2 linked regions of the Anolis sagrei genome follow. The protein of the gene in region 2 interacts with the protein of the main gene of each other region in a pairwise test. Links are inferred from orthologs where the notes say so. Each region holds a gene or a part of one and is shown on either strand. Other genes may lie near its edges.

Evidence for each region.
Region 1: the proteins of KLHL2 (region 2) and TXNDC12 interact in binary tests that used the Homo sapiens proteins (3 or more experiments, as listed by UniProt). The two-hybrid records come from large-scale screens. The link is inferred for Anolis sagrei from reciprocal best matches to the Homo sapiens genes KLHL2 and TXNDC12.

Annotation. Positions count from the first base shown.
Region 1 is NC_090024.1:173,951,517-173,959,192, reverse strand, and holds the start of TXNDC12 (thioredoxin domain-containing protein 12), read right to left. Parts: upstream 3,019-7,676; 5' UTR 2,936-3,018; intron 2,482-2,935; exon of another isoform or gene 2,345-2,481; intron 2,282-2,344; 5' UTR 2,209-2,281; coding exon 2,124-2,208; intron 1-2,123. UniProt on the Homo sapiens protein: Protein-disulfide reductase of the endoplasmic reticulum that promotes disulfide bond formation in client proteins through its thiol-disulfide oxidase activity.
Region 2 is NC_090025.1:56,847,659-56,854,662, reverse strand, and holds the start of KLHL2 (kelch-like protein 2), read right to left. Parts: upstream 3,050-7,004; 5' UTR 2,874-3,049; coding exon of another isoform or gene 2,822-2,873; coding exon 2,790-2,821; intron 1-2,789. UniProt on the Homo sapiens protein: Substrate-specific adapter of a BCR (BTB-CUL3-RBX1) E3 ubiquitin ligase complex that mediates the ubiquitination of target proteins, such as NPTXR, WNK1, WNK3 and WNK4, leading most often to their proteasomal degradation.

The DNA of each region.
Region 1 (7,676 bases), on a different chromosome or scaffold from region 2:
ACAGCAGATAAAATATTTTATCATATTTGATCACAGCAAAGAAAAGCATTTCAAATGGTAATACCAATAGTATTTCTCAGAACATCCTCTATGAATACATGGCGTTTGCCTAGGTTATTCTGGGGAAAGCAATGCTTGAAATGTTACCATAAGTTATATACATTTATTTACGGTCAATGACCAGCACCATAAGTTATCCATCCCTTCAGAAATATACTACTGAAATTCTACCACAAAACATTTTTTGCAAGTTGCTCTGCAGATACATCTGCTGTTGTCGTTCTGCACCTTCAAATTGATTTCAGCTTAAGACGACAATATCATAGGGTTCCCTTGGGAAGATTGGTTCACACATTTGTTCTTGCCTTTTTCTTAATCTCAGAGCAGGCACATTATTGCCGTGTTTTAAACATCAGGTAAAAACCTGTTAACAGAAAGCTTTAATAGTACAATCCTATCAGCATCCAATTAGAAGCAGTTTGAGGAATATTTCAATTCAGTCTACAGCTGCTGGAAGGAATACAAATTGGAACATAAACTGGAAATAAGCCCACTAAAATCATATTCTCCTACGCTGTGATTGCACTTGGAATACTGTGTGCAGCTTTGGTCACAGTATTTGAAAAACATTACTCCAAATATTTTAATGTCCCCCAATAAACCCTGCTCTTCGCCGCCTGTAGAAAAGGGCAATCACAGTGAATAAAGGTCTGGAACATCTTCCTTATGCGGAAAAGTTACGACCTTTGCGACCAAATTACAAACATCTATACGTTGCAGTTCGATCTTTAAATCCTGTAAGCTTTTCCAGTTGCTTCTCATCAATTTTGCTGTCACCTCGAATAGCAACATCGACAATCCCTACTTTTTTTCCACGATTGTGTGGTTAGGAGTATTGTGCTCCAAAACTCAGTCAGTCTGAATTCGGAAGTCCCAAAGTAGTTTGATGTGATCGTTTTGCATAACTTTTTTCTGGCTTGTGATCCCACCAGTTTTTTGTCACAGGCAGATGGTATTTGTGGCACAAGTTCCAATGGATCATCTGAGCAACAATATTATGCCTCTGCTTATAGTCCGTCTGCACGATCTTCTTACAGCAGCTGAGTATATGATCAATGGTTCTGTCTGCTTACTTGCGGAGTTTACACTTGGAATCTGTCATCCACTTTTCAATTCTGGCTTTGATTGAATTTTATTATAATAATTATTTTACTGATACAAAAACACAGCATGTCACAGCAAACAAGATCTATATGCTGGATTTCATATCACAAAATCACAAGTTGAACACTTCCCAAGTGTCTAGGACTGCGTAATGTATTTTTGAATGATGCGCATAGATCCAAGTAAAGTGGCCTTTTGCAGTTGACAGATCATGATTTTGTCAATGTTTATTGTTTCCAAATGCCGGCTGAGATCTTTTGGCACGGCACCCAGTGTGCCGATCACCACTGGGACCACCTGTACTGGTTTATGCCAGAGCCTTTGCAGTTTGATTTTGAGGTCCTGAAAACGGCTGAGTTTTTCCTCAATGCGGCTGTCACCTGGTGTATTATTATTATTATTATTATTATTATTATTATTATTAGGAGTCCCCTGCTAATAATAATAGGAATTGTGGGAGTTGAAGACCAAAACACCTGGAGGGCCAAAGTTTGCTGATGCCTGAGCTACACTGTAGAATTAATGCAGTTTAGCACCACTTCACTACCCAGGCTCAAGGCGATGGGATGAGAGTTGTAGTTTTACATGGCCTTCTCTACCCAAGAGAGCTGGTGCCTCCACCAAACTACAAATCCCAGGATTCCATATAGCATTGAGCCAAAGCAGTATCAAACTGTATTAATTCAACAGTGTAGATAAATGCACCCTCCCTTTGTTGGCTTGCAATTCCCTTCCTTGCTTAAGAGCAACTCATGGCCTACTCTGTCGAAACAGATGGGAAAGTTGAATCAATAAGAACTACAATTTCACATTAAAATGTGGATTTTGAATGCGCCAACAAAATCCATATGAGCAAGATGTGGATTATGGTTGTTATTATTATGTAATATTAAAAGGATAGAAAGGTAAAAAAAAAGCAGGTAAGAATGTAAAGAAAGGGGAGGGATACTATATCTTACCTTTTGCAAGGGCTTCTTCAGCAGAAGCAACGACCAGCAGCTGGCAAAGGCAGCACAAGGAGAAAGTAGCCCAAGGGGCCTTCATGACGCCAAAGGAGCTCTCCAAAAGGATCCACACGGCCAGGAAGAGGACCCGGTGTATCCCAATCCGCTTTCACCTTTAAAAAAAGGAAAAAGAATAGAGGAAGTGATGTTATCAGGCGGATATGGGAGGCGCTGCATGGATTTGGGTCCGGGGTAAATTAGGAGAGAGGGAAGGAAAGGAAGAGACATCCCTGAAGGAACCTAGATGAGAAAAAACTATTCCTCCTCGTTGGGAATTTCGACTTGAAGGTATTTCAAAAACCGGAATGAGCGGGTAGGTTTTTTAAAATGCTCTTTGTATATTCTATTCTTTATGAAATCCATGTTAGCTCCATCCACACTGTAGAACCAACTCAGTTTTGACTCTACTTTAACTGCCTTGATGACATACTATGGAAACACGAGAGTTGTAGTTTTATAAGGGCTCTCATCCAGTTACAACTTCCGGGATTTCATAGCATTGAGCCAGAGTAATTACATCAGTTACACACCAGTTACAACTCCCGGGAATTCATAGCATTGAGGTCAGAGTACTTAAGAGTGGTATGCTTTTGAAACGTTGAATTTTGTATTTATATAAGTGCCTTTAAGGCTCCTTTTAGTTTATAGCGACCCCAAGAATTTCATAGGGTTTCCCTAGGCAAGGAATACTCAAGAGGTGTATCAATCAGACCCCCCCCCCTCCGTTTTGATATATAGTCGATAGTATCTGTTATCCGAGGGCATACCTGTCCCTTTTAGACTTCTTGAGGAAGACTGCAACTCCCAGCATGCACCGCTTTCCCGCCACGCCTCCTTGGGGCGCGACGCTTTATTCATTGTCCTCTCGTCGGGGAGGGGGTTATGCAAATACAGCCGCGCTCCCTTCCAATCGGGAAGGAGGTGGGCGTGGCGTCGGTCCCGTGGTCCTTTCTCTGGGCCCCTTCCTTTCCTCCCTCCCCCTCCCTCCCCCGCGCGCCTCGACGCCATCTTGTTCTTGCCGCGTGTTGCCTGCGGGAGGTTCGTCGGATTGAGGTGAAACTTCCTGCTTGACCCCCCACCTTTCTGCGGCCCTTGTGTCCCCCCCCTTTCAGGGCCTGCTTGTTCCCCACTCCACAGGCCGGGCTGTGGCCCTGCCTGCCCGCTTCTCCTCCCACAGGCGAGGCCGCCCCACGGACGGTGGGAGGGGCTGCTGGTGGGCCCAAGAGCCAAGGGAGGAGGAGGAGGAGGAGGATGGGCCTGGCCTCCCAGCCCGCCTGGGCCCTGCGCCTTGCTTCGGGGGAGATGGCGCTCTGGGCAGGGGCCTTCCTCTCCCCAGGCTTGGCTTTGGTGGAGCCCTTTGCCGCTCCCTTCCCAACACAACCCACGGGAGGCCCCTCCTGTCCAAAGCGACGCGCCCTTTCCCTCAGAAACAGCGCTGCCATTGAAAACAAAAATTTCACTCCTCGTGGTGGCACCTTCTACTTCCATGGAGGGGGGTCACGCTGTCACCTGGCCTCTCTTCCTGTTATTAATAGCCATAGTGCCCCACCTCTAGCCTTGAGAGATGGAATTATAGAGGGGTTATGCTATCCCCTGGCTTCTCTTCCTGGTATGAGTAGTACTACACTAGTAGTAGTAGTAGTCATATTCCCCTCCAACCTTGGGGAGTGGTGGGATAACAATAGAAATAGTAATAATAATGGTAATAGTGATTTATCTGCCTCTCAAGGCTTGAGCAAAAAAAACACACAACCTCCCCTTTCCTTGGTGGCACCTTATTCTTCCATAGAGGGGATAATACTTTCACTCTTTCTTCCTATTATTATTATTAGTAGTAGTAGTAGTAGTAGTAGCAGCAGCAGTAGTGTACCGCCTCTAGCCTTGAGAGATGGGATGGTTATTATTGTTTACTTACTTCTCAGGGCTCGAAGGGGGATTGAATTTAGCAAAAACACCCCCCCCCCTTTCCTTGATGGCACCTTATTCTTCTATAGAGAGAGGATAATACTATCACTCTCTCTTCGTATTAATATTAGTAGCAGTAGTGTCCTGCCTCTAGCCTTGAGAGATGGGATTATTATTGTTATTGAGAGATGGAATTATTATTATTATTATTGTTTACCTACCTCTCAGGGCTCGAGGAGGGATTGAATTTAGCATTGAGGAATGTGTAAAAACACAACCCCCCTTTCCTTGATGGCACCTTATTTTCCATAGAGGGAGATAATGCTGTCACCCACCCTCTCTTCTTATTAGTAGTAGTAGGAGTGTCCCGCCTTCTTAGCCTTGAGATGTGGGATTATTGTTTACCTACCTCTCAAGGGGTGTGTGTGTGTGCGCAAGGGATTAAATGTATCCAAAATGCTCCAAAATGTGTAAAAACACAGCCCCCTTTCCTTGGTGGCACCTTATTCTTCTATAGAGGGGGATAATGCTGTCACCCACCCTCTCTTCCTGTTATTAGTAGCAGTAGTGTCCTGCCTTCTTATCCTTGAGATATGGGATTATTGTTTACCTCCCTCTCAAGGCTTGAGGGGTGCAAAGGATTGAATTTAGTATTGAGGAATCTTTCTATGAAAACACAACCCCCTTCCCTTGGTGGCACCTTATTTTCCTATAGAGGGGCATAATGCTGCCACCTGCCCTCTCTTCCTGTTATTATTGGTAGCAGTAGTGTTACACCTCTAGACTTGAGAGATAGGATTATTATTGTTGTTGTCTACCTACTGCTCGATGATAGGTGCAAGGGATTGAATTTATCATTGAGAAATCTTTCTATAAAAACACAAGCCTCCTTTCCTTGGTGGCACCTTTTTCTTCCATAGAGGGGGATAATGCTATCCTTTCTTTCTATTGTTATTAACAGTAGTAGTATCCTGCCTCTAAACTTGAGAAGAGTAGATGTACTCGTAATAATAATAATAGTTATTATATATCTGCGTCTCCACAGAACTTGAGGTGGAATACAAAGGAATGAGGAGGGGTGCTATTTTCTGACAAACGCAGACCAACTCTCCTTGGTTGCAGCTTATTTTTCTATAGAAGTGGATAATACTGTTACCTGGCTTCTCTTTCTATTATTATTAGGATGAGAAGGGGAAGGGAAATAGTGATGGTCTGCATCCTGCAGTGTTGACATTGAGTATTTCTTTAAAAAGAAATCTACTCTTGTTGGTTGCATCTTATTCCAACCTTGAGGAGAGACAAGTAACAAAGAAAATAATTATTATTTTCCCATAGAGATTGATAATGCTGGCAACTGGTTTCTTGTCCTCTAATAATAACTGTTGTTGTTGTTACCATATTTCTTCAGTTGTAAGACACCACTGATTGTAAGACACACCATAGTTTCAGTACCACAACCAACAAAAATGCATAAGATACATCTGTGATTCTAGGACACATTCCATTTTCAGAGATGTTTATATAAGGAAAAAGTGTGTCTTAGAACTGAAGAAATACAGTATTATTATTCTTTCTTATTTGCCTCTACAAAGGACTGAATTTAGGATTGACTTTGAGAGAGCCTCCCTTAAACTCCTCACAGGACCTTTTTTTTTTAAAAAAAAAAAATCCCCTTCTCTAGTCTTCAGGAGTTGGTACAGATTGAGTGTCCCTTATCCAAAATACTCCAGAATTTTCCTCATGAGTGGCTGAGACAGGGACACCTTTGGTTTTTGATTGTTCACACATAAAATTATTTTAAAATACTGTGTATTCAGTTGCCCACAGGGTTTGTTTATAGGATGTAATATGACATATAAATGAATTTTATTTTTAGACTTTGGACCCACCTTAAAATATCTCATTGTGTATATACAAATACTCAAAATTTGAAAAATATGAAATACAGAACATTTTGGGTCCCAGACATTGTGGATATAGATTACTCAACCAGCTAATATGGAATCTTTTCACCCACTATGTAAATAAGATAAAATGTTATATTTTGGAGAGCCCATTTTCCCATGCCTTTTAAAAGTGCAAACGTTTCATTGTATTTGAGTTTCCATAATCAAAATAGTTCAATTTTTAAAAATAAATTAGGCACCTATGTTACGCAAATTGATGGTTCTTAGGTCCTTTTTATAGGTTTGAAACCCAGCACATCTATTTGTGTAGTGTAGTAAAGTTACTGAAGATGTGACTACTTCATCAACATCTTCTAGATCAGCAGCCAGATTTCTCAGATAATTGATACAATTACGTGGGAAAGAGTTTTTTCCTCAAAGAATTTGGGTCCCCTGTGTCTCAGTTTGTTCTGGCTGTTAACTTTCTTCTACAAATGGCTTTTCTTACTCTTCCCAAAAACTTCTGTAAATGAGACAAGGATTCTATTTCTCAAGGTTGAAATAACCATTATTATTATGTCTTTGTCTCCTTTCTAATCTGAATGTTTTTATACTCTCTGAGCTGAATGCATCATGTAGTAGAGTTGTATCTTTGTCAAGTTATTGATAAAGACATTGTTTCTTGCTTCTGAGAACAATTTCTTTTACTTTTCTCAGCTCATGAGAATAGTTGAATTTTGGAGACTCTGTATTGCTTCCTTGCCAAGTGTAAAATCAGATTTCACAGTAATTTTCATCTTAAATACTCAATTCCACAAAGATTTAAATGTGATTATTAATTTGGAATTCCATTGCAACAATTGTTAATATATGAATAAAATATCTTTAACTTTTCCTGAATTGAGAATGATATGATATAGAATAAAATTCTAAAAAATCAAAAGCAATTGTATCTAATCTCTACATGCCAGTGTAAATAAATTATTGTTCAAAAGTAGATTTTGGGTTTTACTTGTTATTTGACTGGTGTAGCTTTATTGCTCTTGTCCCTATAAGATTTTGTGCTACGCGTTTAGAAGCAAATCTCAGTCCTTGTTAATTAGGCTACTATAAAACAAATCTTGGTATTTGATTCTTGCTAGATTTGGTTACTGTAAGACAAACAACTGAGAGGAGCAAAAAAAATAATTGGTTTGCGTACTTAGTTTGATCACTGTGTGGACGGGGAGTCCGATTTAACTTGCACATCCCAGCTCATGTGCATGGTTTACTTTTTCAGTCTTAGGGTGCATCTACACTGTAGAATTAAGATAGTTTGATACCACTGTAATTGCCATGTCTCCATGCTATGGAGTCATGGGTATCGTAGGTTTAGAATCATAGAATTGGAAGAGACCTCATGGGCCAACCAGTAAAACCCCCTACCAAGAAGCAGGAAGATTGCATTCGAAGCACCCATGACAGATGACCATCCAACCTCTGTTTAAAACACTCTGTTTAGGAGTCTTTAATCTTCTCAGCCTAATAGTGTTCACCAGACGCACACAAGATTCCACAGCATTGAGCCATGACAGTTAAAGTGATGTCAAACTGCATTAATCCTGTAGGAAAAAGCAAGTTCTTCACTTAACAGCACTGCAGAGGCAAAAGCAGCAGTAAGAAGGAAATTGCAGGGGGAGGGTTTCCTTAAAACAGTTAGGAGCGAAGTTAGGTCCCT
Region 2 (7,004 bases):
ATAATTAGTTAATTTTTTCAATTACAAAACGATAAAGAACCATTCTGGAGCAATTAAAAAAAAACGAATTTTTAAACACGTTTTGTAAATGCTTCGTATTTCGTTATTGTATTCGTTTCGTTATTGTTCTGAGGTTGTTTCGTTATTATTTTCGCATGTCTGGGGCAAGTTTTTTGTTTAATTAGTGAAAAAAAATTATAATATCACACCAACATTGTTTCGGAAATCGATTCGTTAATGTTTTGTAATTTTTTTCACATTTACAAAATTTCGTAAATATCGAACTTTTTAAAAGGAAAATTTTGTAATTATTTTAAATAACGAAACGCAAAAACCCCCAAAAAACGAATCGATTTTAGAAACAAATTTTTCCGTTGTTACCCAGGCCTAGTGCAATACATTCAGATGAGAAAGCAACAAAGTTACTCATTCAACTTGTGAGATTCAGACCTTAACTTTTATTCAAACAGCCCAGTGCTTACAAATGAGAGTTAGTGCATACAGACTGCAGAATTAATCCAGTTTGACACCACTTGAACTGCTATGGCTCAATGCTATATAAAACTGGGAGTAGTAGTTAGGTGAGGCACTAGCCCTCTATGGCAGAGAAGGTTAAAGACCTTGTAAAACTACAACTCCCATAATTCAATAGAAATAAGCCAAGGCAATTAAAGTGGCACCAAACTGCATCAATTTTACTGTGTGGACGCATCATTAAGGTTGCCATAACTCAAAGGCACTCAGCAACAACTTAACAATCCCCTCCACTCTCTTTTTGTGTATATATAGAAACACTCTAAAGCTACTCTGAACATTAGGACCTTTGCCATGGGGCATAAGAGTAATACGCAATAGCTCCGACCATATACAGAGTGCATTTTTGGACGGCAACAGCCATGGCTCCTTACAATCAGGGAGCAGGCAACAAAACACAGCTATAAAAGCTGTATTTGAGAAGAAGGAAGTAGACAGTGAGTATGGAAGGTCTTCATTCCCCATGCTCACATTCTATTTCATATATTTATGCCCTCTCTAGCCTCAGACTACCTGCTGGGGTGCAGTGAACGCACTCTGCACATGCTCAGAAGTTTGGTTCCCTACTATAGGATTCCGAACTATTCGGTGGAAGATCTGCTGAGATCCTTGTCTAAGGGCGCATCTATACTGCAGAATTAATGCAATTTGATGCCATAGTTCTATTCTAATGGAATCCCAGGAGTTGTAGTTTGCTAAGGCCCCCGATCCCTCTTTGGTAGAGAAGGCTAAAGACTTTGCAAAACTACAACTCTCATTATTATTCCATAGTATTGAGAATACATCTGCATCGTAGAATGAATGCGGTTTTACATGACAACTCCTTGCAAAACTATAACTCCCATTATTCCATAGTATTGAGAATACATCCACATTGTAGAATGTATGTTTGATACAACTCCTTGCAAAACTACAACTCTCACTGTTCCACAGTGTTGAGAATACATCCACACTGTAGAATTAATGCTATTTGACACGACAACTTTTTGCAAAACTACAACTCCCATAGTATTAATACATTTGAATTGTAGAAAGAATACAGTTTGGCACGACAACTCCTTGCAAAACTACAACTCCCACTGTTCCATAGTATTGAGAATACATCCGCACTATAGAATTAATGCCATTTGTCATGTCAACTCCTTGCAGAACTACAACTCCCATTATTCCAGAGCATTCATACATCTGCATTGTAGAATGAATGCAGTTTGACATGACAACCTTGCAAAACTACAACTCCCACTGTTCCACAGTGTTGAGAATACATCCACACTGTAGAATTAATGCTATTTGACACGACAACTCCTTGCAAAACTATAACTCCCATAGTATTAATACATCTGCATTGTAGAATGAATGCAGTTTGACATGACAACTTTGCAAAACTACAACTTCCATTATTCCAGAGCATTAATACATCTGCATTGTAGAATGAATGCAGTTTGACATGACAACTTTGAAAACTACAACTCCCACTATTCCACAGTACTGAGAATACATTGAATTGTAGAATGAATACAGTTTGGCACGACAACTCCTTGCAAAACTACAACTCTTACTATTCCATAGTATTGAGAATACATCTGCATTATAGAATGAATGCAGTCTGACAAGATGCCTCACAAAACTACAACTCCCACTACTTCATAGTGTTGAGAATACAACCGCACTTCAACTCCTTGCAAAACTACAACTCCCATTATTCCATAGTATTAATACATCTGCATTGTAGAATGAATAGTTTGGCATGACAACTCCTTGCAAAACTACAACTCCCACTATTCCGCATTGTATAATGAATACCGTTTGATACTACAACTCCTTGCAAAACTACAACTCCCATTACTCCAAAGTGTTGAGAATACACCTGCATTGCAGAATGAATGCAGTTTGAAACTTAAGGCCATGGCTGAATGCTATGCAACCTTGGGATTTGTAGTTTGACAAGGCCCCTATGTCTTCTTTGGTTGAGAAGGCTGTGTAGACCTTGCAAGCCTACAACTCCTAAAATTACACAGCATTGAGCCCTGCCGAGCAGCATTCATTTGGCAAAGCAGGCTGTAGCAGAAGACCATGCAGGAAACTACAACTCCCAGGGACCCAGAACACTGAGCCCTGCCAAGCTGTAAGTCAGTCGGCTCCAGTGTCGACTCCAGAGAAGCCGGGCCCTCTCAGTGTCACTTTCACCTCTTCTCGTGTTCACCCATTCTCACGTTCATCCCTCGGCGACGCGTGTCTGCCTGCCAGCCACTCACCCCAAGGGTTGCAGCAGCAGCAGCCTCTCCATGGCGGCTCCTCCTCCTTAAAGCACCGGCAGCGGACGCCGGCGCCAGCACCATTCCAGCCTCGAACGCTGGGGAAAACCCGGCAAGATGCCCCGAAGGAGGAGGAGGAAGGGGAGGCAGGCACACACAGAGAGAAGGAATTATTGCCGCGGCTCTTCACGTTCCTTCTTCCTCCTCCAGCTGCTGAATTCGACTGAAACCGCTACTTCCGGGGTTCGGAGACCAAGCCCACTTATCCTGACTGGGGGATGACGTCATCACGCACGCCTACGTGCAGCCCCTCCATCTCCTCCCTCTTCTATCTCTATAGGGATGCAGGGCAGAGTAAGAAGCCAGGTGTAACCTCTTATCCCCATTAATGGGTTTGTATCAACTGAAAGGAACCCTTCCCAACTGCTCTTGCTTTGTGGCCATGAGCAAACTTGGGCCCTCCAGGTGTTTTGGACTTCAAAGCCCACAATTCCTAACAGCCAGTTAGACTTTGTGGGAGTTGAAGTCCAAAACACCTGAAGTAGCCAAGTTTTCCCATGCCTGGTACTGGTATGATGAACTGTTAATCATAGAAACAAAGAGTTGGAAGAGACTTCATGGGCTATCCAGTCCAACCCCCTGCCAAGAAGCAGGAATATTGCATTCAAATCAACCCTGACAGATGGCCATCCAGCCTCTGTTTAAAAGCTTCCAAAGAAGGAGCCTCCACCACACTCCGGGGCAGAGAGTTCCACTGCTGAACGGCTCTCACAGTCAGGAAGTTCTTCCTGATGTTCAGATGGAATCTCCTTTCATGTAGTTTGAAGCCATTCTTGTAGTTAAGACCACAACCTATTGGGAATTGTGGATTATGACCTGTTAGGATCATAACCTATTAGGAATTAGAGCTGTGTTTCTCAACCTGGGGGTTGGGACCCCTGGGGCAGGCCTGTAGCCAGGATTTCGATTCGGGGGGGGGGGGGGGCTGAGTTTTTTTCAGGGGGGGATTCGGGAGGGGTCTGAGTTTTGGGGGGGCTGAGTCTGAGTGAAAGAGGGTCTAGTTTAGCAAACCTTTTGTATCATTACCCCAATACCCCCATGCATATGGGATATATTGAGTATGGTGATCAGATCATGTTATGAATAAACATAACAGTTTAAATAATGCACCAGTAATGCCTTTTCGCGAACCACCATGAGAATTTCGGGGGGGGGGGGGCTGAAACCCCTCGAGCCCCCCCCCCCCCGGCTACATGCCTGCCCTGGGGGGAGCATCAGAGGGGTCGCCAAAGACCATCAAAAAACAGGAGTCCCCGGTGGCACAGTGGGTTAAACCCTTGTGCTGGCAGGACTGAAGACCGACAGATCGCAGGTTCGAATCCAGGGAGAGGCGGATGAGCTCCTTTTATCAGCTCCAGCTCCTCATGCGGGGACATGAGAGAAGCCTCCCACAAGGATTTTTTTTGGTCGTGTCAGGAGTGACTTGAGAAACTGCAAGTCGCTTCTGGTGTGAGAGAATTGGCCGTCTGCAAGGACGTTGCCCAGGGGACGCCTGGATGATTTGATGTTTTTATCATCCTTGTGGGAGGCTTCTCTTATGTCCCCGTTCGGAGAGCTGGAGCCGACAGAGGGAGCTCATCTGCCTCTCCCCGAATTCGAACCTGCAACCTGTTGGTCTTCAGTCCTGCTGGCACAGGGCTTTAACCCACTGCGCCACCGGGGGCTCCTCCCACAAGGATGACACTGACATCTGATTGAAAAACAGACTTCTATACTCAAGCTGACTCAAGGCTCAGCTGTCTTCTAACTTCTTAGACTTAAATCTTCCCCTCTTCTTTTTAAATTCCTCCCCTTGAGTAGACCAGCAGAATTTTAACTCCACTTTAACACTTCTTTCAATGAAATCATCTCTATACTTTTAACATTCCTTTCAATTTGGTGGTTTCCCTCTAAAGGAGACCAGAATATTTTTAAACGCTTCTTTTAAACTACTTTAAACAGAAGGAACATGCAGGGGCAATTCATAAAATGGAGTGTAACAGAGAAATCCAACACTTCCTATGGAGCCTAGACTACTATTAAGGAGAAAATACAGAGGCAGCAAATTTGTGAGGAACACCCTTTGCTCTGTGTCACTGAAACGATTCAACATGAGTGAATCTTTCAGATCCCATTACATGTGTTTTTTGGCATTAGCGATGTTTCTGGCACGCACCGGGGCTCAGAACGTGATTACGCATGTGCTGAACTCCCTCCTTTCAGCACACTTCAGTTCCATTTCAAGGATGAAGGGCAATGGATGATGGCCAGAAGTAGGCAAACGTCGTTGTGCCTCTTTGTCTTTGAAATAGAAATGAAATGTCCTACAATGGGGAAAACACTCCATGTGATGAGGTCTCCAATCATCACTCCTGGAACCTGCACAAAGGGCCCTTCCAAACAGGCCCTATAGCCCAGGATATGATCCCAGGTTTTCTATTTATCTTAGGATCCTTCAACGCAGCCCTATATCCAAAAATATCAAGGCAAAAAATCCCACAATATCCGCTTTGAACTGGGTTATCTGAGTCCACACTCAGATAATGAGGGATTCTCTGCCTTGATATTCTGGGATATAGGGATGTGTGGAAGGGCAGATTATCTGGCAGTGGAGACTCATATAATCCAGTTAAACCAAAAAACCTGGGATTAGATCCTGGCATACAGGACCTGTCTGGAAGGGCTATAAGAAGATATTTTTTCTTTTTCCTAGAGAAAAGACGATTCAGGAGTGGCTTTGGATACCTTCAGTGCAATGACCACACTTCGTTCATGTTGATTTATGCCATCACACTCTCATTAACATAATTGATTGCAGGTGAACATAGTAATTAAAATGTTTTCATAACTTTGATTTTTTTAAATCAAAAGTTAAAAAAAACCAATTTTGTTCTTTTCAAGTTAGTGAATTCAAATGAAAAGGTCAGTTTCACTGGCAAAAATAGAAAATCCCACTGACCTCAGGTAAACCTGATTCTGAATATTATACTGCAAATGGCTTGCAGAATACAGCCGAAACTAAATTGGAAAGATTCTCTGACTTCTAAAATGAAATCGGCATGAATATGTATGTTTCTGGTTATCAACCTAGTGCTGGTTCCCAGAGGAAAACTGTCAGGGAGTGAGTTTTATGCATTGAAGAGATTAAGAAATGTATTGGAAAAGGCACCTGTCTTTCTTTGAACCACGGATTTAACAGTAAAGCCTTATTTAAATGTAAGTGAAATGTCATTTTGAAAACTTCTAAAAAATCATCCAAAAATGGATTACAGGGCAGTATACATGTGACTGTTTATCACATTTTAAACTACCCACTAAACACAATTTTAAAATAAAGCAATACAAGCAATAAACAATACAAAATTTCAAGGCATAAAATTAAATTCTGTGTGAGTCTGCACACATGCCTGTTGATTTATGGCAACCACATGAATATCATAGGGTTTTCTTACGCAAGGAATACTCAGAGGTAGTTTGGCCAGTCGCTGCCTCTGAAATACTGCTTACAGCATGGGTTTTCGTTTCCATCCAATATTGTGTGTGTGTGTGTGTGTCAGGAGTGACTTAATAAACTGCAAGTTGCTTCTGGTGTGAGAGAATTGGCTATCTGCAAGGATGTTGCCCAGTGAATGACAGGATGTTTTGATGTTTTACCATCCTTGTGGTAGGCTTCTCTCATGTCCCCACATGGGGAGCTGGAGCTGACAGAGGGAGCTCATCCATGCTGTCCCTGGATTCAAACCTCTGAACTGTCAATCTTCAGTCCTGCTGGCATAAGGTTTAACCCAAGGCTCCTTCCATCCAAATACTAACAAAGTTTGATGCTAATTAGCTTCCAAGGTCAGATCATTTTTGCCTAAATCAAAGATAGTTTTCAATATTAGATGTGATCTGGTGTTTTTAGACTGGGTTGCTGTAGGGTTTTCGGGCTATATGGCCATGTTCTTGAAGCATTCTCTCCTGACGTTTCGCCTGCATTTATGCCCTCACAACCTCTGAGGATGCTTGACATAGATGCAGGTGAAACGTCAGGAGAGAATGCTTCTAGAACATGGCCATATAGCCCGAAAAATCTACAACAACCCAGTGATTCCAGCCATTAAAGCCTTTGACAATACATTGTTTTTAGACTATTTAAGTCCTTCTACTAGCTGAAAATACAACTGAAAATACCTA